Oryctolagus cuniculus: one gene and its partners. The protein of the gene in region 3 binds, or shares a complex with, the protein of the main gene of each other region. Links are inferred from orthologs where the notes say so. Each region holds a gene or a part of one and is shown on either strand. Other genes may lie near its edges.

Evidence for each region. The genes of interacting proteins can lie anywhere in the genome.
Region 1: the proteins of NTRK1 (region 3) and NGF are in contact, whole or in part, in a crystal structure (PDB 1WWW), measured with the Homo sapiens proteins. The link is inferred for Oryctolagus cuniculus from reciprocal best matches to the Homo sapiens genes NTRK1 and NGF. Residues at the interface, in NP_002520.2 of Homo sapiens: His291, Val294, Glu295, Met296, His297, Cys300, Pro302, Phe303, Ser304, Leu333, Glu334, His343, Gly344, Cys345, Arg347, Thr352, His353, Met379, Asp380, Pro382; in NP_001424474.1 of Homo sapiens: His125, Pro126, Ile127, Phe128, Arg130, Gly131, Glu132, Phe133, Ser134, Ser138, Ser140, Trp142, Tyr173, Phe175, Arg180.
Region 2: the proteins of NTRK1 (region 3) and SHC1 are in contact, whole or in part, in an NMR structure (PDB 1SHC), measured with the Homo sapiens proteins. The link is inferred for Oryctolagus cuniculus from reciprocal best matches to the Homo sapiens genes NTRK1 and SHC1. Residues at the interface, in NP_002520.2 of Homo sapiens: His489, Ile490, Ile491, Glu492, Asn493, Pro494, Gln495, Tyr496, Phe497; in NP_892113.4 of Homo sapiens: Met176, Arg177, Ala178, Leu179, Ser259, Ile260, Ser261, Phe262, Ala263, Ser264, Gly265, Gly266, Lys279, Asn283, Arg285, Ile301, Ile304, Gly305, Phe308, Glu309, Phe312, Lys313, Gln314, Tyr315.

What each region holds. Positions count from the first base shown.
Region 1 is NC_091438.1:55,015,531-55,021,304, forward strand, and holds the start of NGF (beta-nerve growth factor), read left to right. Parts: upstream 1-1,716; 5' UTR 1,717-1,735; intron 1,736-1,811; exon of another isoform or gene 1,812-1,899; intron 1,900-5,774. UniProt on the Homo sapiens protein: Nerve growth factor is important for the development and maintenance of the sympathetic and sensory nervous systems.
Region 2 is NC_091438.1:43,538,584-43,544,447, reverse strand, and holds the start of SHC1 (SHC-transforming protein 1), read right to left. Parts: upstream 4,059-5,864; 5' UTR 3,823-4,058; coding exon 3,328-3,822; intron 2,788-3,327; coding exon 2,717-2,787; intron 2,221-2,716; coding exon 2,157-2,220; intron 2,040-2,156; coding exon 1,920-2,039; intron 1,692-1,919; coding exon 1,638-1,691; intron 1,448-1,637; coding exon 1,396-1,447; intron 1,209-1,395; coding exon 1,082-1,208; intron 267-1,081; coding exon 68-266; intron 1-67. UniProt on the Homo sapiens protein: Signaling adapter that couples activated growth factor receptors to signaling pathways. Participates in a signaling cascade initiated by activated KIT and KITLG/SCF.
Region 3 is NC_091438.1:41,936,104-41,941,347, reverse strand, and holds part of NTRK1 (high affinity nerve growth factor receptor), read left to right. Parts: intron 1-1,610; coding exon 1,611-1,937; intron 1,938-2,365; coding exon 2,366-2,383; intron 2,384-2,550; coding exon 2,551-2,606; intron 2,607-2,900; coding exon 2,901-3,003; intron 3,004-3,509; coding exon 3,510-3,656; intron 3,657-4,078; coding exon 4,079-4,209; intron 4,210-4,327; coding exon 4,328-4,500; intron 4,501-5,244. UniProt on the Homo sapiens protein: Receptor tyrosine kinase involved in the development and the maturation of the central and peripheral nervous systems through regulation of proliferation, differentiation and survival of sympathetic and nervous neurons.

The DNA.
Region 1 (5,774 bases), about 13 Mb from region 3:
CTGGTACTCTAGAATTTTTAGTCTTCATCCCAAATTCTCAGGGAGCTATTCCGTAGAGCTAGGGGCTGGTGCTTTCAAAGCAAGTTTGTATACGACATGATTGATGGGCCGGCATATCCTATTGTCTGGAAATCCCTTTGTTTAATCATCAATGATAAATTGCCTAATGGACCACCCTGGCTGTGATGCTCCTGTGGCAAAAAGCGCCGTTTACGGTGGTCCCTGGCCTCTTGCCCCAGCCCCCGGCCCCCAACCTGTGCACATCCAGCAGCCTGCATGTGAACAGCTCAGCCCGGGACAAGCCTTTGCTGGGGACTGCTGAGGACACCCCAAAGCTCACGCTCAGTTCCAATTCTCAGGTTTCCTTCCTTCCTCATTCTTGTCCCCGCAGGAATAAAGGGCCTGAATTTAGGACGGCGGGGGGGGGGGGGGGGGCGCAAAGGTGGGGAGAGAAAGGAGCAGAGACCTCAGGCCAAGTTAAGCCAAGAGCATCGGCAATGCCCAGGCAAGGCTGAAGGAGACCGGCCACCCTGCACTTCCGCCAGGAGCCCGGGGCCTCGCCAAGATCTCCGCGCGCTGGGCTGCACTGCCTCTGGCTTGTGCTGCCCGGTGTGAGGTGTGAAGTCACCAGTAACTCAGGGAGACGCAAGCCCTCCTCCGCCCTCTCCAGCACTCTCCCCGCTTCCATTCCTCCCCTGCAGCATCCACACAGGGTAGGGACTCGGCATGCCTCTGCCGAAGCCCGTAAGCGAACGCATCCGGCAAGCTCACGGCAGGGAGGGAGGGGCAGGGATGCAGTTTTGCGAAGACTTGTAGTTCCGGAGCGTGTTATTCTGGTTAATGATGCCCACTGGTGAGAACTCTGGTTTGAGGGGTATTTCTCCCCGGCTAGCCTGGGGCTGGGCTGGAAACGGCCTGAGCTGAAGGGCAAGCCGGCTCCCGATGGACAAAAGCCCCGTCAGGCCGTGAACCCCAAAGTATTGGAAAGGCCGCCTCACCTCAGGTGTGCATAAAGGGGGCTTGTGGGCAGGGTCGCCATCTACATCAGTTTGAGGTCAAAGACTCTTTGCAAAACCAACAAAAGCTGCGGATCTTCGACCCAGAAAAACGCAGGCATCCGGCACACACTGCAAGCCCACCTGTGATTACAGGAGGGTTGGGGACCCTGGACAGTCTTTAATTAAGGCCCAGGGTCTACATTCTGACGCCTAAGGTCCTCTGACCCTAACTCCACGCCGACCTCGCTCCCGCCCCCAGAGCCTAGCACCGGCTCTGGCAGCTGCTGCCCGCCCTGGTGGCAAAGGAGCCAAGGGCATCCTGCACCCCGCGCGGCTCCCCCGGGTGCTCGCTTAGCCCCTCCACAGGGCGCGGGAGCAGCCAACGCCTGGGGCACCGAGGGCCAAGTGGCGCAGACCAGGGAGGCGCGGGCGGCCGGCAGCGCGCGGGGGCAGGGCAGGACGGCGAGGGCAGCGCTGCGCAACTCCGCCCCGCCCCGCCCCGGCTCAGGGGCGTCGGGGGCTGGCACCCCTGCCCGGAGCGCCAGAAAAGCCCCAGCCCGGCTTCGGCCGCGCGCCAGCTCCCACCCCGGCGCCTTTCCCTTCGACCCCCGGAGGTTCGTTGACCTCTGGAGGTCTGAATCCTTCCCCCGGCTTGGCCCTGCCAGCCCTCCCGGGAGAGAGCGATCGCTCGTCCTCAGGACCCCCTACAGCCGGGCATCTTGGCGTGGCCACAGCAGGTGCGGGGCTGGGGGTGGGGAGGGGTGGGGTGGGGGTGCAGAATTAAGAGCGGGTGTGACTCAGGAGTCCGGGAGGAGGGGCTAAGAATTCAAGAAGCCTGTGCTGGAGCAGCTCGGCGCTCCGGCTCAGCAGAGAGCGCTGGGAGCCCGAGGGGAGCGCAGCGGTGAGTCAGGCTGCCCCGAGCCGAGCCCGAGAGGGGTGCAGCGCGGGCGCTGGCGGGCCGGGGCGGCGGGGCTCCCCGGGAGACTGTGCTTGGAGCCCGGTCGGGCGAGCTCTCCGGGCACCCCCGAGAGGAGTGTCCCTAGAGGGCGCGAGACCCTTGGCTGGCGGGCGGGCGGGTGGAAGGGCGCAGCGCTCCCTCTGGTCCTGGGGCACGGTCCCGGGATGGCCAGAAGTGCGAGAGGCCACCTGGCTCCTGCAGAAGCCGCACGGCCATGCCTGGGAGCAGCTCGAGGGCCGGAAGGGGACAGCGCGCAAGTGAGGGAGAGCGAATGCGCGTGGCGAGAGGGATGCGCGGGCAGCAAGCGCGCCGGGGTTGGCGAGTGGTGGCCCGCGCCGCGGAGGGCTCCGGGCGCCGGAGTGGCTAAAGTGCTTCACTGCCCGCAGGTATCAGGACGAGCGGGCCAGGGAGCGCTGGAGCTGGTGCAAGGAATAGGGCGAGGGTCTCAGGGCTTGCCCGCGCGTCGTAGAAGGCCTTGGGGGTCCGGCCTGGGGTCCTCCACGGGTTGACACTGGCAGCCTGCGCGCCAAGTGCCGGGGTTCAGCATCTGCGCTGCACATCCTCGGGAGGTCGCCAAGGCTCAGCCCTGCCCCTGGGTCACATGCCTCACCTCTAGCTGTGTGTTGCCAGGTGTGGGAGAGCTGGCAACGGCAGGCTGGGGTGGGCAGCGCCGTGGGTTCAGGCAGCGAGGCTGGAGGGGCGGGAGAGAGAGGACTCAGGGGTCAGGGAGCTACAACTTTGAGCCAACATAAACAAGCAACTTAGCTCTGCTTGCTTATGCTCTTCTCCCCCCCCCCCCCCCCCCCGATCTCTGAGAATCTCGTGGAAGGTGTTTTCTGCTTGAACTTTCTCTTCTCTCATGACTTGAGAGATTAAAAAAGAGCCTGCTTGCTAGGCTGGTTTTTCCAAGTTGTTCCAGGTTGGAAGTTGTAACAGTTTGAAGGATAATTTATGGGTGTTTTGTGCGTTAACGTGTATTACAGCAAAGCCTTTTGGGTGCTGTGGGTATTAAGGAAAACTCAGTGCACGTTCCCAGCTGGAAACCAAAATAGTGCTCTCCTGGGTGTCTCTGCCCCCTCTGGCATCTGAGGCCAGTGGAAATCCTGGAGAAAAGGCACTTGATGAATTGTCCTGGCTCCATCCGCTGGGCACACCCACTGCCCTGCCAGGCCCCTCCCCCCACCACAGGCATGGCCAGCTGCATTCTGCACATTCAGAAACGGGGATGGAGGGCCCTCCAGGGGCTGCCCTCGGGGGTCTTGAGCCTCCTGAAGCTGACGGTGAAGTCCGCCGGTTGGCCTGAACTCTTGCTCCCTGTGCAGAGGCACGCGGAGAGGCTGCCTTTGGCCGTCAGGCCTCTGCTGTTGAGGAAGTCATAGCCAAGGTGGGCACCTGGTGCCAACTCAGGATGGCAGTATTCCCAGGGGTCCAGGGAGCACTGGTGGCCCCCGGGGTGAGAGTGGTCTGGGGGCTGAGGACCAGTGCATCTGGCATGGATTCTCAGGAGCAGTGAGTGTCCCTCTTGCTGGGGAGGGGGAAGGGGAGGGGTTCGTGCCACGTGCGGCCAAACTCCTCCCTCATCTGCATCCTAACATCTGTAGGCAGGAAAGAAAAGGGACACCTGGAAGAGCAGCCAGTTAGGAGGCACCGCAGACAGGAAGGCCGGGTCGTTGGGCCTGGAAACACACGTCTGGATAGAACCGGACAAGTACCTCGGAGGACTTGATAAGCAGCCATAGGTACTGCTGCCTTCCCTGGGCAGCCGTCTTACTCCAGGCCCCCTAGCGAACTGGGCCTGCTGGGGGTGGTCACCCTAGTGGCTGTGGCTCTTTCCCTACACTTACTCCTTAGCAAGGAATGAGGCTCTCGCTTTCTGCTGCGCCTCCCACCCCAAGGACCAGTGGGAACCCGGGAGGAGGCTTCACCCTCCCATTCCCTTTCTGGGAGAAAGCTGTGCCTTGGCCAGGAAGGGGGCCCCAGCTGCCGACATCGGTAGGGAGGGTAGGGCATGGCAGGGCAGGGCTGGAGCCCGAGGGGAGTTTCTCATCATTGCTGAAATTCAAATGATGAGAAAATCACACAACGTTACTTTCTGGTGAGTGCTGGGTGCCGCTGCTGCTCACTCGAGGGTGCTCAGCCGGAACACACCGCATCGGAGCTTCAGAGGGAACCACAGACAGAGCCGGTCACTGTTCTTCTGTACCGGGCATGGAGTGGGGCCGAGGCACAGACCCCCGAGCAGACGTTCATGCCAGACTTGAGACCAGAGGCCTGGCCGTTTACTTCTCCCAGTAAGAACTTGGAGGGACTTCAGGTCCGGAGCAGGCTTTGGAGACCTTTGCTGGCAGCATGTACTCGCTCTGCTCCCAAGAGGCTGTGGAAGGTTTGCAGAGGGCATGTACTGCATGCATCTCTGGATATCTGTGAGCAAACAGGCCATGTTCCCAGAAGGTGTCTCCTTCTTTGCCTGGCACCTTGGAGCTTGCAAACCATCTGCCCTCGGGGCTGAGACGTGCTGCAGAAGCCTGCTCCGTGGCGGACCAGTTTCACAGAACAGCATATGGTGGCATCAGTCAGATAAATGAGGACAAAGGACCCTTGCCCACCCCATTCCCAAGACCCCTCACTTGCTGACAGTGGGAAGACAGTTAAGACACCGGCTGCAAACAGCAGCAAGACCAGGATGCCCTTGAGGCTGCTGAAGCAGCTGGAGAAACTGAGGCTGTGGGCCTGGCCTTTCAGTTGGGTGTGCACAAGTGTGGAAGTGTTGCTATTTGAGCCAGGAATAGACTGTTAGCCACAGAGTTTAGTCAAGACCAGAAAAATGAAAACATACGATCGCAATGAGTTTCTTGTGGTTTGGGATATTTGCCTCACTCTTCTGCAGACTCCTTTGCAGGCTTCGGAGGAGTTTCTGTAGGCTGTTGGCTTCCGCCTATGGTAGCAGTAGGAATCGGATTGAGAAGCAGGGACGATCTCTTGATGTTTTTCTCCTGTTTTTCGGGAAAACGGCCAGCGGTGGTTTTCTCAGTTGTGGCAAAGGAAGGAAAGTAGCTTTGCGACCCTGAGCAAGTGACTCAACAGCTAGGGCGTCACTTTCCCAAACTAGAAGGCAAATGCAGTGGATGAGCGCGGTTTCTCAGCAGGCCTATTAGCACGTCTCGGGTAAGTGTGACCGATCTGCACAGTGCAGGAGGTTTAGTATTCCTGCCTCCCCTCCTAAGTGTCGGGAGTCACGGTGACAGCCCCCAACAGCCCTCCTGCAGGGCTAGATGCTTGCATTGAAAGGCAAGGCTGCACCCGATCGAGGACACCCTTGAAAGGAGTTCCGGTCCCACTGTTGGGGCCTCCCTGACTTAGTCGCTGAGTTGGGATTCGGAAGCGCAGTCCAGGGCTCATCCTCTGCGAGCCAGTGTATCAGGCCTCAGTGTTCCTGCTGGGTGTCATCCTTTGCCTTTGTGAGTAGAGTGGGACTGCACATGACCCGCAGGAGGGTGGGGGAAGGGCCAGGTGGTATCAGAATCTGCCATCTGCTATGGAAACTCAGGCAGACCGGCTGCCTGGGGGGCCGCGGTGCCGGGAGGAAACCCTTCTCTGCCTTACCAAGTGGACCACATCTGACCCCAGCAGGTCCCTTCCCTGCAGCACCCGCCCCAGCACGGACAGCACCTGATACAACTCCAACCCGAGTGGACATCCAATTAATACAACTGTGCCCAAGCTGCGAGGCTAAATGAGAATCGATACTGTGGCATGTGATAGGAAAAAGCAGGCTGGCAGCGCTAGGCTGAAGGGACAGTGCTTGTGGCACTGGTCTG
Region 2 (5,864 bases), about 1.6 Mb from region 3:
TAAAGGAAGGTGAGACCAGCAGTCCTAACCAGCCTGGGCCCAGCCCACCTCCATCCTAGCAACTTACCAGGGTAGCTCCCAAGTGGCTGGGGGTCTGCGCACTGGGTGGAGCAGGTCGAACAGTCCCTGGGGCAGCTCCTTCCCGGAGCCTCATGTCCACCACGCCCCCCAAAGGGGGTTCCTTCCCCGGGAAGTCATTATAGTACTGATGGTCGGGTAGCTCTTCCTCCTCCTCATCCCAAGCTGATCCATCAAAGCCGGCCATTCTGGGAGGGACAGGAAGGCACAGGAGTGTGAGTACGCAGGAGAGCCGGGCAGGGCGAGGGGAACCCCACAGCACATCACACACACAGCGAGCCTTCAGTCCGCAGGCCTGAGGCTGGGTGTTTCCCAGGTACAGTCATTTCACCCTCCTGGTTTCCCTCCCTAGTTTTATAGAGGAGGAAAATTAAGGTGAGAGGTGAAAAGATTTATCCAAGATCTCCCAACTAAAAGGTGCTATAGGCAAGATTTAAACTCAGCTTTGACTTTACAGCTCATGCCCTTGACCACCAGGCTATTTCCTGAGAGGAAGGGGAAGCACGAAATAGTGGGGAGGGCATGTGCCGGAGGACTTGAACTTCCAAATACACCATCCCTACTGGCCCACTGCTCATTCCTTAAAGCCTACAGTGGGAAAGGAAGGGGTCTCAGGACAAACAGCCTTCCTCCAAGATCCACGAGCCTGGTGGCTTCTAGAAATAGGAAAACACAGAAAATGAAAGAGAAATAGGCAAGAAAGAGGGCGAGGCTAGTAATGAGGTGGCGGCTGGGAAGAGAAAAGCTCATTCAGCCAGAGAAAGAAATGCAGTTTGGAGGCCCTGAAATACAGCCCCACCACAGGCAAGCGAGAGGAAGAGCTGGCCCTGCAGCAGGCGGCCTAATGGCCACCGGAAACCCAAGAATCGCAGGAAGTAGGAAGCAGGGCACACAGGTTATTTCTTTCCCTGAACCTCCCCGAGCTCTGGCGTGGGAAGAGTAGACCTGCATTCCCAATCTGGGTCTGGGGCCCAACAGCTGGCCCACACCCCACCGTGCTCACCTGTCATGGGGGGTGACCAGCTTGGGTGGGTTCCTGAGGTATTGTTTGAAGCGTAACTCGAAGGCCTGGCCAATGGTGCTGATGACATCCTGGGCAAGCCCTTCGGGACACTCCAGGATGTGGCAGGCTGCAGGTACAGCGAAGGCTGCCGGTGAGCTCTGAGGCGGGGTCTCGGGCGGGGGTGTGGGGGACTGATCCTCCTCAGCAGAAGCCCCTCCTCATCTCTGCTCGGTGAGAGGGGAAGGGCGGCCCTGGTCCCCCTCACCTGCCGCACCGCCATCCCGCCCCACCCAGTGCGCCCCACCATGCCTCACCTCTCTGATTCACGGGGTCTTTGGCAACGTAGGCAACATACTCGGCTGTGTCCTAAGACAGACAGAGTGAGAAGGGGCAGGTTAGCTAAATTCTACAGCTCCACCTTACTCCTGATGCCTAAACCCAGTCTTTTTCAAATACCTCTGCAACCCTACCTCCCCCACTGCCCTGGCTGATGGCTTCCCAATCCTTAGCCCCTTCCCCTCCCCCCCCCCAACCTGTGCTCTGTTCCCCAACTCACCGGATCTCCGCCGGACGCAAATGAGATAGACTGCATGTGGTGGTTGGCAATGATCTGAGAATTGGCACGGGGGATGGAAAAGGAAAAGAATGGCATGTGTCAGCCCCCACCCCTGGCCCAGAACCCTGCCGTCCCAGCCTCATTCTCTTAGCTTCTCACCCTAACTTCTTCCTACCTTCTGGCTACTCCAAAGCCCTCCACCTTAGTTTTTGGCCTCACAACTACATCTGCCCCTAGCCCTACCTCCCATGTCTCTGGTACCCCCTACCTAACCCCACCAACCTGTTTACAGTCTGCGGCCATGAGGTTGAGGCTGCTGGTGGAGACGGTGAGAGTGATTGGCATTCCAGCAAATTTCAGGTTACTCCTCCCCAGGATAGAGCTGAGCGGGCGGCCACAGGGCTAGAAAAGGCCCAGAGTCTCAGAAGCCGAGGGTTCCCGACACCAGGAAACACTTCTGCCTTCCCCTTGCCCCTCCACATCACCCAGCACCATCCCAGCCCCAGCCACCCCAGGTACCTTTCTCCTCCGTGTGGCTCCCTTAGCACCCGGCACAGCCTCACACACCAGACTGATGGCCTCCCTGGGGAAAGAGGGGTGCTCAGACCCACAGGCTGCCTCCCACTCGGCTGGGGCTGCCACAGGGCTGGGGGAGGGGAGGGCCAGGCCAGACTCCCAGGGCACTCCAGGCTCTTTGTCGTGGTGGATTGAATTAAGGGCCTTTAATATTTGATGACACTGAGAGGCCGCTTCCTGGCTGATTGGGTTAGGGCCTCAATGGGTACGGCCCCACCCCCTTCCAGCCACCAAACCTCCCATTCCCTTCCCAAAGGCAGCAGCCACCACCGGTCTAACCCCACTTTCTGCCCTAGCCCCACAACTCTAAAGGCCGGAGAGGTAACAAGGATCCAGCCCAGAGGTGTCTCTTTTCAGTCACACTTGGACTCACTGTCCCAACTTTCTCTCAACCCACCTGCCCACCCACAGGTAGGCCACCTGCACCAAGGGCCCCACTCCCCATTCCCACAGCCTTACTAACCCCAGGACTCCCACAAGCCCTCCCCCTCCCCCCCACTAACCTGGTGACCTGCGTCCGGGTGTTGAAGTCGAGGGCACGCATTGACTGCAGGACCTCCACACAGCCCATGTACTGAGGGGAGGGGGACAGCAGTTCAGCCACCTCCCCCCACCCCAGCGCTAGGGCCCTAGGACTTTTCCCTCCATAGTCCCTAAGGGAAGGAAAGCTGAGGCAGCTCGCTCACTGCCCGCAGCTACATCCCACAATGTACAAGACAACGGGGAGTGAGGAGAGAGAGAGAGAGAGGACAAGCTGGGAGCGCCTCATGCACTGGGGGAGACTGGAGGGCAGTGCTGGGCACTGGGTGGGATGGGTGACACCTCCAGAAGCGGGAGGGGTCCACCGGGGGGAGTCCAGGAGTCCTCATGCCCACACTCGCCTCCGAGGTGCTGGGCATTGTGCGAAGCATGGCAGGGTGGGGGTGGGTAGGCAAAAGAAGGAGGAGGGCCCTGGCAGAGCTGGAAGAGGTCAGAGATCAGGCAGAAAGGTTAAGAAGCAGGACGCGGCGACAGAGGGGCTGCTGAGGGAGAGCAGGAGGAGTCCCACAAAGCTGCCGCGAGCAGAGGAGCTGCAGGGGTATGGGAGGGAGTGCAGGGGAGGATGTTCACTCACCCGAACCAAGTAGGAAACCCCAGGTCCCATGACTTTGTCGTTGGGATGCAGCCAGCCCCGCGTGGGCTTATTGACAAAGCTCCCGTGGCGGGTCCACTCCTCGCCCCCCAGCTGGCCCCCTTCCACCCGAGTCCTGCGCCCGCCGCCTCCACTCAGCTTGTTCATGTCCTGGAGGAGGGGCAGGGGGCCTGAGTCCGGCATGGCTGCCCCTGTGATCCCCTCCCCATCCTCGGCTGCCCTTCCTGGCTCCCCCTTGGGCCCCAGGCGGCCCCCAGCAGGGTTGGCCAGCTTCAGGTTGCTCATCCGGGGGAAGAAGGAGCACAGGGTGGTGGGACTGTCGTCCCCGGGCAGAGGGGGCAGGATTGGCCCCAGGGACGAGGCTGAAGGGGAAGGCAGCTCCTCCGGAGGGGTGGACCCTGAAGCCCCCTCTTCCAGCGACGACAGAGACTCATTCCGAAGTGGGTTGTACTTGGGCTTGGGGGGCAAGAGATCCATGGCTGGGGCGAGAGCAGGGCTGCTGCCCGGCCCGGCCCCCCTGCCAGCTGGGGCAAGGGGGCCAGGCAGGGGGCATCCCCAGGCCCCGAGCCTGCCGGGCCTCTGTGGCCCAGGAGGGGCAGGAGTCCTGGGGAGGGAGAGGGGCAAGTGGCTTCCGCTCCCCCAGCTCAGACCCAGACAGTTTCAGGCCCCATCCCCGCCCAGCGTGGAGCCTCTTCTCTGGCAGAGAAGAGAACAGGCTGGACCCAGAGCTGCCTGGCTCCTCCCCAGGGGCGGGGAGCTAAGGAGAGAGACCAATCCGGAGGACAGTGCTGACTCACAGGCTCAGAGGGGCTGAGCCCCCACTGCCGCCGCCCCAGCCCAGAACTCAGGCAGGGGCAGAGCTATCCTGCCCCTCTCCCCTACCCTAAACAAACAACTAGTGATCTGGGGGAGAAGTGGGAGTTTGGAGGAAAGGATGGAGGAGGAAGGAGAGGAGGGAGATAAGAGACGGTCTGGATCAATCCAAACCGGACATGGGCAGGAAGTCAGGGGAGGGGAGGGGGAATGAGGGAGGAAACAGAGGCAGCTGGGGGTGGAAAAGGGAGGAGATCCCAGAGCTCAGCATTTCCCTTCCTGTCCTGCTGGAACACGCAAATTCCTCCATGGTCCAGCCCAGGCCACCCCTCATCACTGCCACATCCAGTGGGGTGAGGGCCCCAGGGAGCTTAGGCCATTAGCATCCTCTTCCAGGGCAGCTGTGGAATGGAACTAGGGAAATGGGAAAAGGAAGGAAGTGGTCCCAGTGGGTGCACACTGGGACCCAGAGGAAGGGCAAAACTTGGGAAGTCAGGGAAATAAAAGCCCAACCCCAGGGGGCCACCAAGGAGCCAGCAGGCTAGAGCTGCAGCCAGAGGACGTGTGGGTCAAGCCTCCTCCTCTGCTCCTGGCACCCACCACACCAAGCAGGCAGTGGCCAGTGGCCAAGCACTGTTCTGCACGCTGGCAAGGGTGAGGACAGGGCAGTCCCTGGGCCCACCAGGTATCCTCCCAGCCCTCCTCCAGCAGTGCCCCTCACACCAGGGGAGGAGTCACCAAGCGATGGAGGTCAGGAGGCAGGCAAACATGTGGCAGTGAACCATGTGCGGAGAACAGTCCCAAACCTCCAAACCTCCGTGGCTTCCTGCCACAGCTCTGCTTGAGGAAGCCTTGGAGGAAGTTGGAAAATGACCAAAACACAAGAAGTAGATACCTCTTCCCCTAGGCTCACCTCGGAATTACCCTTAGCTCTAAGTCAGAAGATTAAAAGAAATCTATAACGATGACCAATTCTAGCACTTAAAATGTGCTAGATACGCTCTCACCTCCTCTTCGTCCTCATGGCAGGAGAATCTGTCACTCTATTTCCTAAGACCCCAGGCCGAGAGAAGGAAAGGTTTCTTCCACAGCCACACACACACACACACACACACACACCCTCATCCTTAGGGTCAGCACTCTCTGGAAGCCTGCAGTATGGGCAGGCAGAGGATGACCAACAGGTGTGAGCATTTCAAAGAAAAGAGGGAGTCTGTCTCTAAATTTGCATAGGGAGAAGTGAGAGCCTACTGGAAGTTCAGGTGATTGGGTGTTGGAGGGGGGAGCCCAGCAGGGAGGAGGCGGGAGGAGCGGGAAGGGGCAGGAAATGGCGAAAGCCTGAGGAATGTTTCCAGCAGGGAAGGCAGGACAAGTGGAGCCAGGAGGAATGCCCAGACAAGAATTTTGGCTGGGGGTGCGGGGGATGGAGCCAAACAAGTAGAGGCTGAGGAGTCCCTTAAAAGAAAAAAGAAAAAAAAACAGGATACAAATCCCTAACCCCATTGCAAACCACCGTTTTCTGGTAGTACAAAGTTCTCTCTCCTGTCACGTCCTCAAGCCACACATCAGCAAATCCACGGCCCTGTCTAGCCACAGCCTCAACCTACAGCTGTTTCTGCGGTGGGCTGGGAAACTATGAGCAAGCCTCTGTCCCGTCCTCGGGCCAAACCCCAAGCCCAGGCCCACCCTTGGGGGAGGATAAGGCT
Region 3 (5,244 bases):
GGAATTACAACAGTCACGTGTTGCTTAATGATGGGGCGGGGGGGGGGGGGGCGCAGCCTGAGAGCTGCGTTGTTAGGGGATTTCGTTGTCACCTGAACGTCATAGAGGGGACTCACAGCAGCCTGGGTGGGCCAGCGCACTCCACACCTGGTGTGGGCGAGCCTGTGAGCTGGGCTTCTACGGGGCAGGCAGTGCAGTAGGTGTGTCTACAGCGGCATCACCACCGACACCTGAGGAATGTGTGGCCCCACTGCGTTGTGACAGTGGCTGTGATGTCACTCGGCAACAGGGCTTTTGCAACTGCATTCAGACCTTCCGGGACCACCCTGGTCCTGTGGCTCATCCCAGACAGGGAAGTCTGCAGAGCGGGGCTGTCTTGTTTTGTGTCTCCATAGCACCGCTTACTCAGTGGGACGCGTTCTGAGAGACACACTGTTACGTGATTGCCATTGTGTGAACATCCTAGATGCTTCCTCAAGCCGGGGAGGTGTGGCCTGCTACAGACCTAGGCTGGAACGCTGTACAGCGTGCGACCGTCCTGAACACTGTAGACAGTTGTGACACAAAGGGAATGCCCAGATCTAAATGCAGAAAAGTACAGCCCAAATCCAGGTGACAGGCAATTTCTCAGCTCCATTATACTCGCAAGGGAACACCATCATCTTTTGTCTTTGTAAAATTCATCCCTGATAATGAGAATAATGGTTCATTTGGCTCACTGCTGAGTAATATTCCATTGTGGCTGGAATTCCAGTGTAAACTTACGTTAATGCACACATTCATGTTGTTTTCTATTACTGAAGGGCCTTTGCTTTTTCCAGTTTGAGTCTATTTCAAACGTTTTTCAAGAAGTTTTCAAACTGTGTGTGTTTATATGTGTATATATATATGTATATATATATATATATCTTGGTTATTTTAAAGATTTGCTTATTTATTTTGAAAGTCAGAGTTACAGAGAGAGAGAGAGGTCTTCCATCCACTGGTTCCCTTCCCAGATGACCATAATGGCCAGTGCTGGGCCAGGCTGAAGCCAGGAGCCAGGAGCTTCTTCAGATCTCCTGTGTGGGTACAGGGGCCCAGGGACTTGGGCCATCTTCCTCTGCTTTTCCCAAGCCATTAGCAGGGAGCTGGGTTGGAAGTAGAGTAGCTGAGACTTGAACCCAGTGCTGATATAGGATGCCAGCATTGCAGGTGGCAGCTTTACCCACTATGCCACAGCGCCGGCCCTTGCTTGTTTGGCTTCTAGGCTCCCTGCCCCTTTTTCATAAGCATGGTTACCCTAAAGTTTTCTAGGTATCTTATCCAAAAGACTCCATATTTCCTTGCCGTAAGCCCGTACTCCACTTCTCTAGGGCTGTTCTTCATTTTAAAGCTCCCACCAAAGGCATTCAGCTCTCAGAATTTTCCCCTCCTCTGCCAGAGTCACTGAGCACTTACTGTGAACCTCTTCCAAACCTTGCTCCTTGTGAGTTTCTTAGGGCCTGCCCACCAGCTTCCCCTTGGGCCCTTTGACTTCCGGTTCCACCCCGCCTGCCCAGGACTCTGCAGGTAGTGGTGGGCCCCCTCCTGCTGGCCCCCACATCCCGCCATGTGCTCTCCGCCCACAGTCCCGGCCAGCGTGCAGCTGCACACGGCGGTGGAGATGCACCACTGGTGCATCCCCTTCTCCGTGGATGGCCAGCCGGCTCCCTCCCTGCACTGGCTCTTCAATGGCTCCGTGCTCAACGAGACCAGCTTCATCTTCACCGAGTTCCTGGAGCCAGCGGCCAATGAGACCATGCGGCACGGCTGCCTGCGCCTCAACCAGCCCACCCACGTCAACAATGGCAACTACACGCTGCTGGCCACCAACCCCTCGGGCCAGGCTGCTGCCTCCATCATGGCTGCCTTCATGGACAACCCTTTCGAGTTCAACCCTGAGGACCCCATCCCTGGTACAAGAGTCACCCTGACCCCATTCTGGACGCCATCGGGGGTGGAGATCCAGGTGTCCAGGGCTATGACCCTGACCTTGGAAGTTGGAGTGCCTGGTCCCAGAGAGAAAGGAGCCTGGAGTCTTGGTGTCCAGCTCTATGCTGGCCTCCTTGCCCCTCCCCCAGCCAGGGCTTGCCATAGCTAGTACCCCAAAGAAGTGTTGAGCTGCTCCCGAGGTCCTGAGCCAGTCCCTCCACTTGGGGGCGCTGCAGAGAGAGCCACCAGGCAGCCATGGCTCAGACGCAAAAGGACCACCTGCGCCTTCTCCCTTGAGGCCCAGCAGCCCCACCCGCACCCCACGCAGGGCGGAGTCCCGGGGGGAGGGGGCCGGGGGCTCACTGCTGTCCTCCTCCATCTGACTGCTTTCTCTCCTGTCCTCCTGCGGCAGTTTCCTTCTCGCCAGTGGGTGAGTAGCCCAGTCCCGGGGCTGGGGGGTGGGTGGGGGAGGGCAGGTGCCGTGTGATCCCTGGAGCTGAGGCTGGGTCAGAGAGGCGCTCTGGGACCGGGTGGGGAGTTGCTGGAAGGGACACGGCGTGTGCCAAGGTGCCCCCTTCCTGCCCGGTGTCCTCACAGATGCCAACAGCACCTCTGGAGACCCGGTGGAGAAAAAGGACGAAACGCCTTTTGGGGTGAGCACGGCGGTGGCTGCTGACCCAGGACACCGGGTCGGGAGGCTGGGGAGCAGCCGCGAACCCTTCTGGCCAGAGCAGGGAGGTCACCTGTGGTCTGGCCTGAGCTCTGCCAGCCACCTTCACGGCCAGGCCTGTGTCCCTGGGGGAGGTGGAGGCAGGTGGTGTGTGGCTGGGGGCGGGGAGTGGTGGTCTTGGCTCTGCGCTCCTATGCAGGATGGAAAAGAGGTTTGCTGGGGGCAGGGGTGCGCCCTGGAGTGCGGCAGGCCCTGGAGCTCCCCGCCCCGCCCCCAGGTCTCGGTGGCTGTGGGCCTGGCTGTCTTTGCCTGCCTTTTCCTTTCCACACTGCTTCTCGTCCTCAACAAATGTGGACGGAGGAACAAGTTTGGGATCAACCGTGAGTTGGGGCTGCTGAGGGCTGTCTGTCTGTCTGTCTGTCCTCCGGGCTTTGTCTCCTGCTGGCTCAGGCCTCTGTCTGTCTCTGCGCATGTGGTGTTCCAGGGGGTGTGTTTGGGGTAGAGGCGAGGCCCGGCTGTGGGGCCCGTGGATGTGAGTGTGTGTGTGGCGGGGCTGGTGCCGCCGTAGTTTCGTCGGGAGCAGCTGCTAATTGGCGGCTGGATCGCACTCAAGCACTAAGTGGGTCTGGGAGGCCTGGGCTCGGTGGGGGGGTGGCAGTGGGGGAGTTCTTTGGTGCCCATGGGGCCAGGAGTTGGACAGGAGCCAGACAGAAGAGAGGCTGCGATGCCGCCCCTCCCCCTGCCTGCCGACTCGCTCCCTAGCTCCTGTCTGTCTCAGGCCAGTTAGGAGCTGGGGGTGTCCTATCACCCTGCAAACAAGGGTGGGTGAGGGCCCAGGTCTGCACCTGGCCTGTGACCCCTCCACCCGGCTGTGTCTCTTCCCCAGGGCCTGCGGTGCTGGCTCCAGAAGATGGACTGGCCATGTCCCTGCATTTCATGACATTGGGTGGCAGCTCTCTGTCCCCTACTGATGGCAAAGGCTCCGGGCTCCAAGGCCACATCATTGAGAACCCACAGTACTTCAGCGATGCCTGTGAGGGGCTATGCTGGGTCAAGGATGGGAGCAGAGAGTGAGAGAGAGAGAGAGAGAGAGAGAGAGAGAGAGAGAGGAGAATATGCATGTGTGTAGCAGAGGCCTCTGGGCCATCGTCTTTGCCTGTTCCAGGCCCTCCCTGCCTCCCACCTCCCCTACCCCTTCCCCAGCAACATCAGACCTTCCCCAGGCTGAGATCAACCTGACTCCCATCTGCAGGCCCCCCCCCGGGGGGGCCACCCAAGGCCCACACCGTGTCTCTCGGGGGCAGAGGCAGCCCCACACCAGCACATGGGGCTTGGTGACAGAGTGCAGGCTGGATTTCAGTCCCCATCCACCCCTTTGATGGCCCTGCCTCCTCTCCAACCCTCCCCCGGTGCCGCCCCAACCTGGGCCCTGCCTGACCCCGCAGCCCCCTCCAGGTGTCCATCATATTAAACGCCGGGACATCGTGCTCAAGTGGGAGCTGGGCGAGGGCGCCTTTGGGAAGGTCTTCCTGGCCGAGTGCCACCACCTGCTGCCCGAGCAGGACAAGACGCTGGTGGCGGTCAAGGTGAGACCCGGGTCTCGAGGCAGCCGCGTCTGCCCACCCAGGATTGGCAGGGTGTGAGGGGGAGGGGGGGTGTTTGGTGGGGAGGGGCTGGGCCGCTCAGTCCCTCCCCTGCCCCCAGGCGCTGAAGGAGGCGTCTGAGAGCGCGCGGCAGGACTTCCAGCGCGAGGCCGAGCTGCTCACCATGCTGCGGCACCAGCACATCGTGCGCTTCTTCGGCGTGTGCACCGAGGGCCGCCCGCTGCTCATGGTCTTTGAGTACATGCGGCACGGAGACCTCAACCGCTTCCTCCGGTAGGAGCCGCTGGCGCCGTGGCCCCTGGCTCTGCGTGCCCTCTGCGCTTCCCCCGCCCGCACGTCCCCGCTGGGCCATCAAACCTGGGAGGACCCCTAGAAGGAAGAGAAGAGAAAGGCACAGCGCCTGTCCCTGAGGATCGGCGAGCTGGGAGAGGGGGCAGAAGTGGGACCCTTAGGTAGCCATGGTGACAGCGTCAGCAATAACACTCATCAGGTCCTTTCTGGGTACTTTATAATTCACTCTTGCTACGACTCTGTGCTTGCACGTATATATTTTGTACAATAATACAAATCTATATTTTCTTTTTCTAAAGATTTATTTTATTTTTATATGAAGGGCAGAGTTACAGAGAGGGAGAGAAAGAAGAGAGAGAGAGAGAGAGAGAGAGAGAGAGATATCTTCCATTTACTGGTTTACTCCCCTCTTCTGGGTCTCCTACATGGGTGCAGGGGCCCAGGCACTTGGGCCATCTTCTGCTGCTTTCCCAGGCACATTAGTAGGGAGCTGGATCAGAAGTGGAGCAGTCAGGATGCGAACCGGTGTCCAAATGGGATGCCAGCATTCCAGGCGGTGGCTTACCCCATTCCGCCACAACGCCGGCCCCCAAATCTGTATTTTCATAGTCTCCAAGTATGTATGGCAGTTTCAAGAAGGTGACCAGAAATTTGTTTCTTTGGTTTTGTGTTCATTAATTTTAGTAATTTCAAGAAATTGTGCCTGTTTCACAGAAAAAGCTTAGA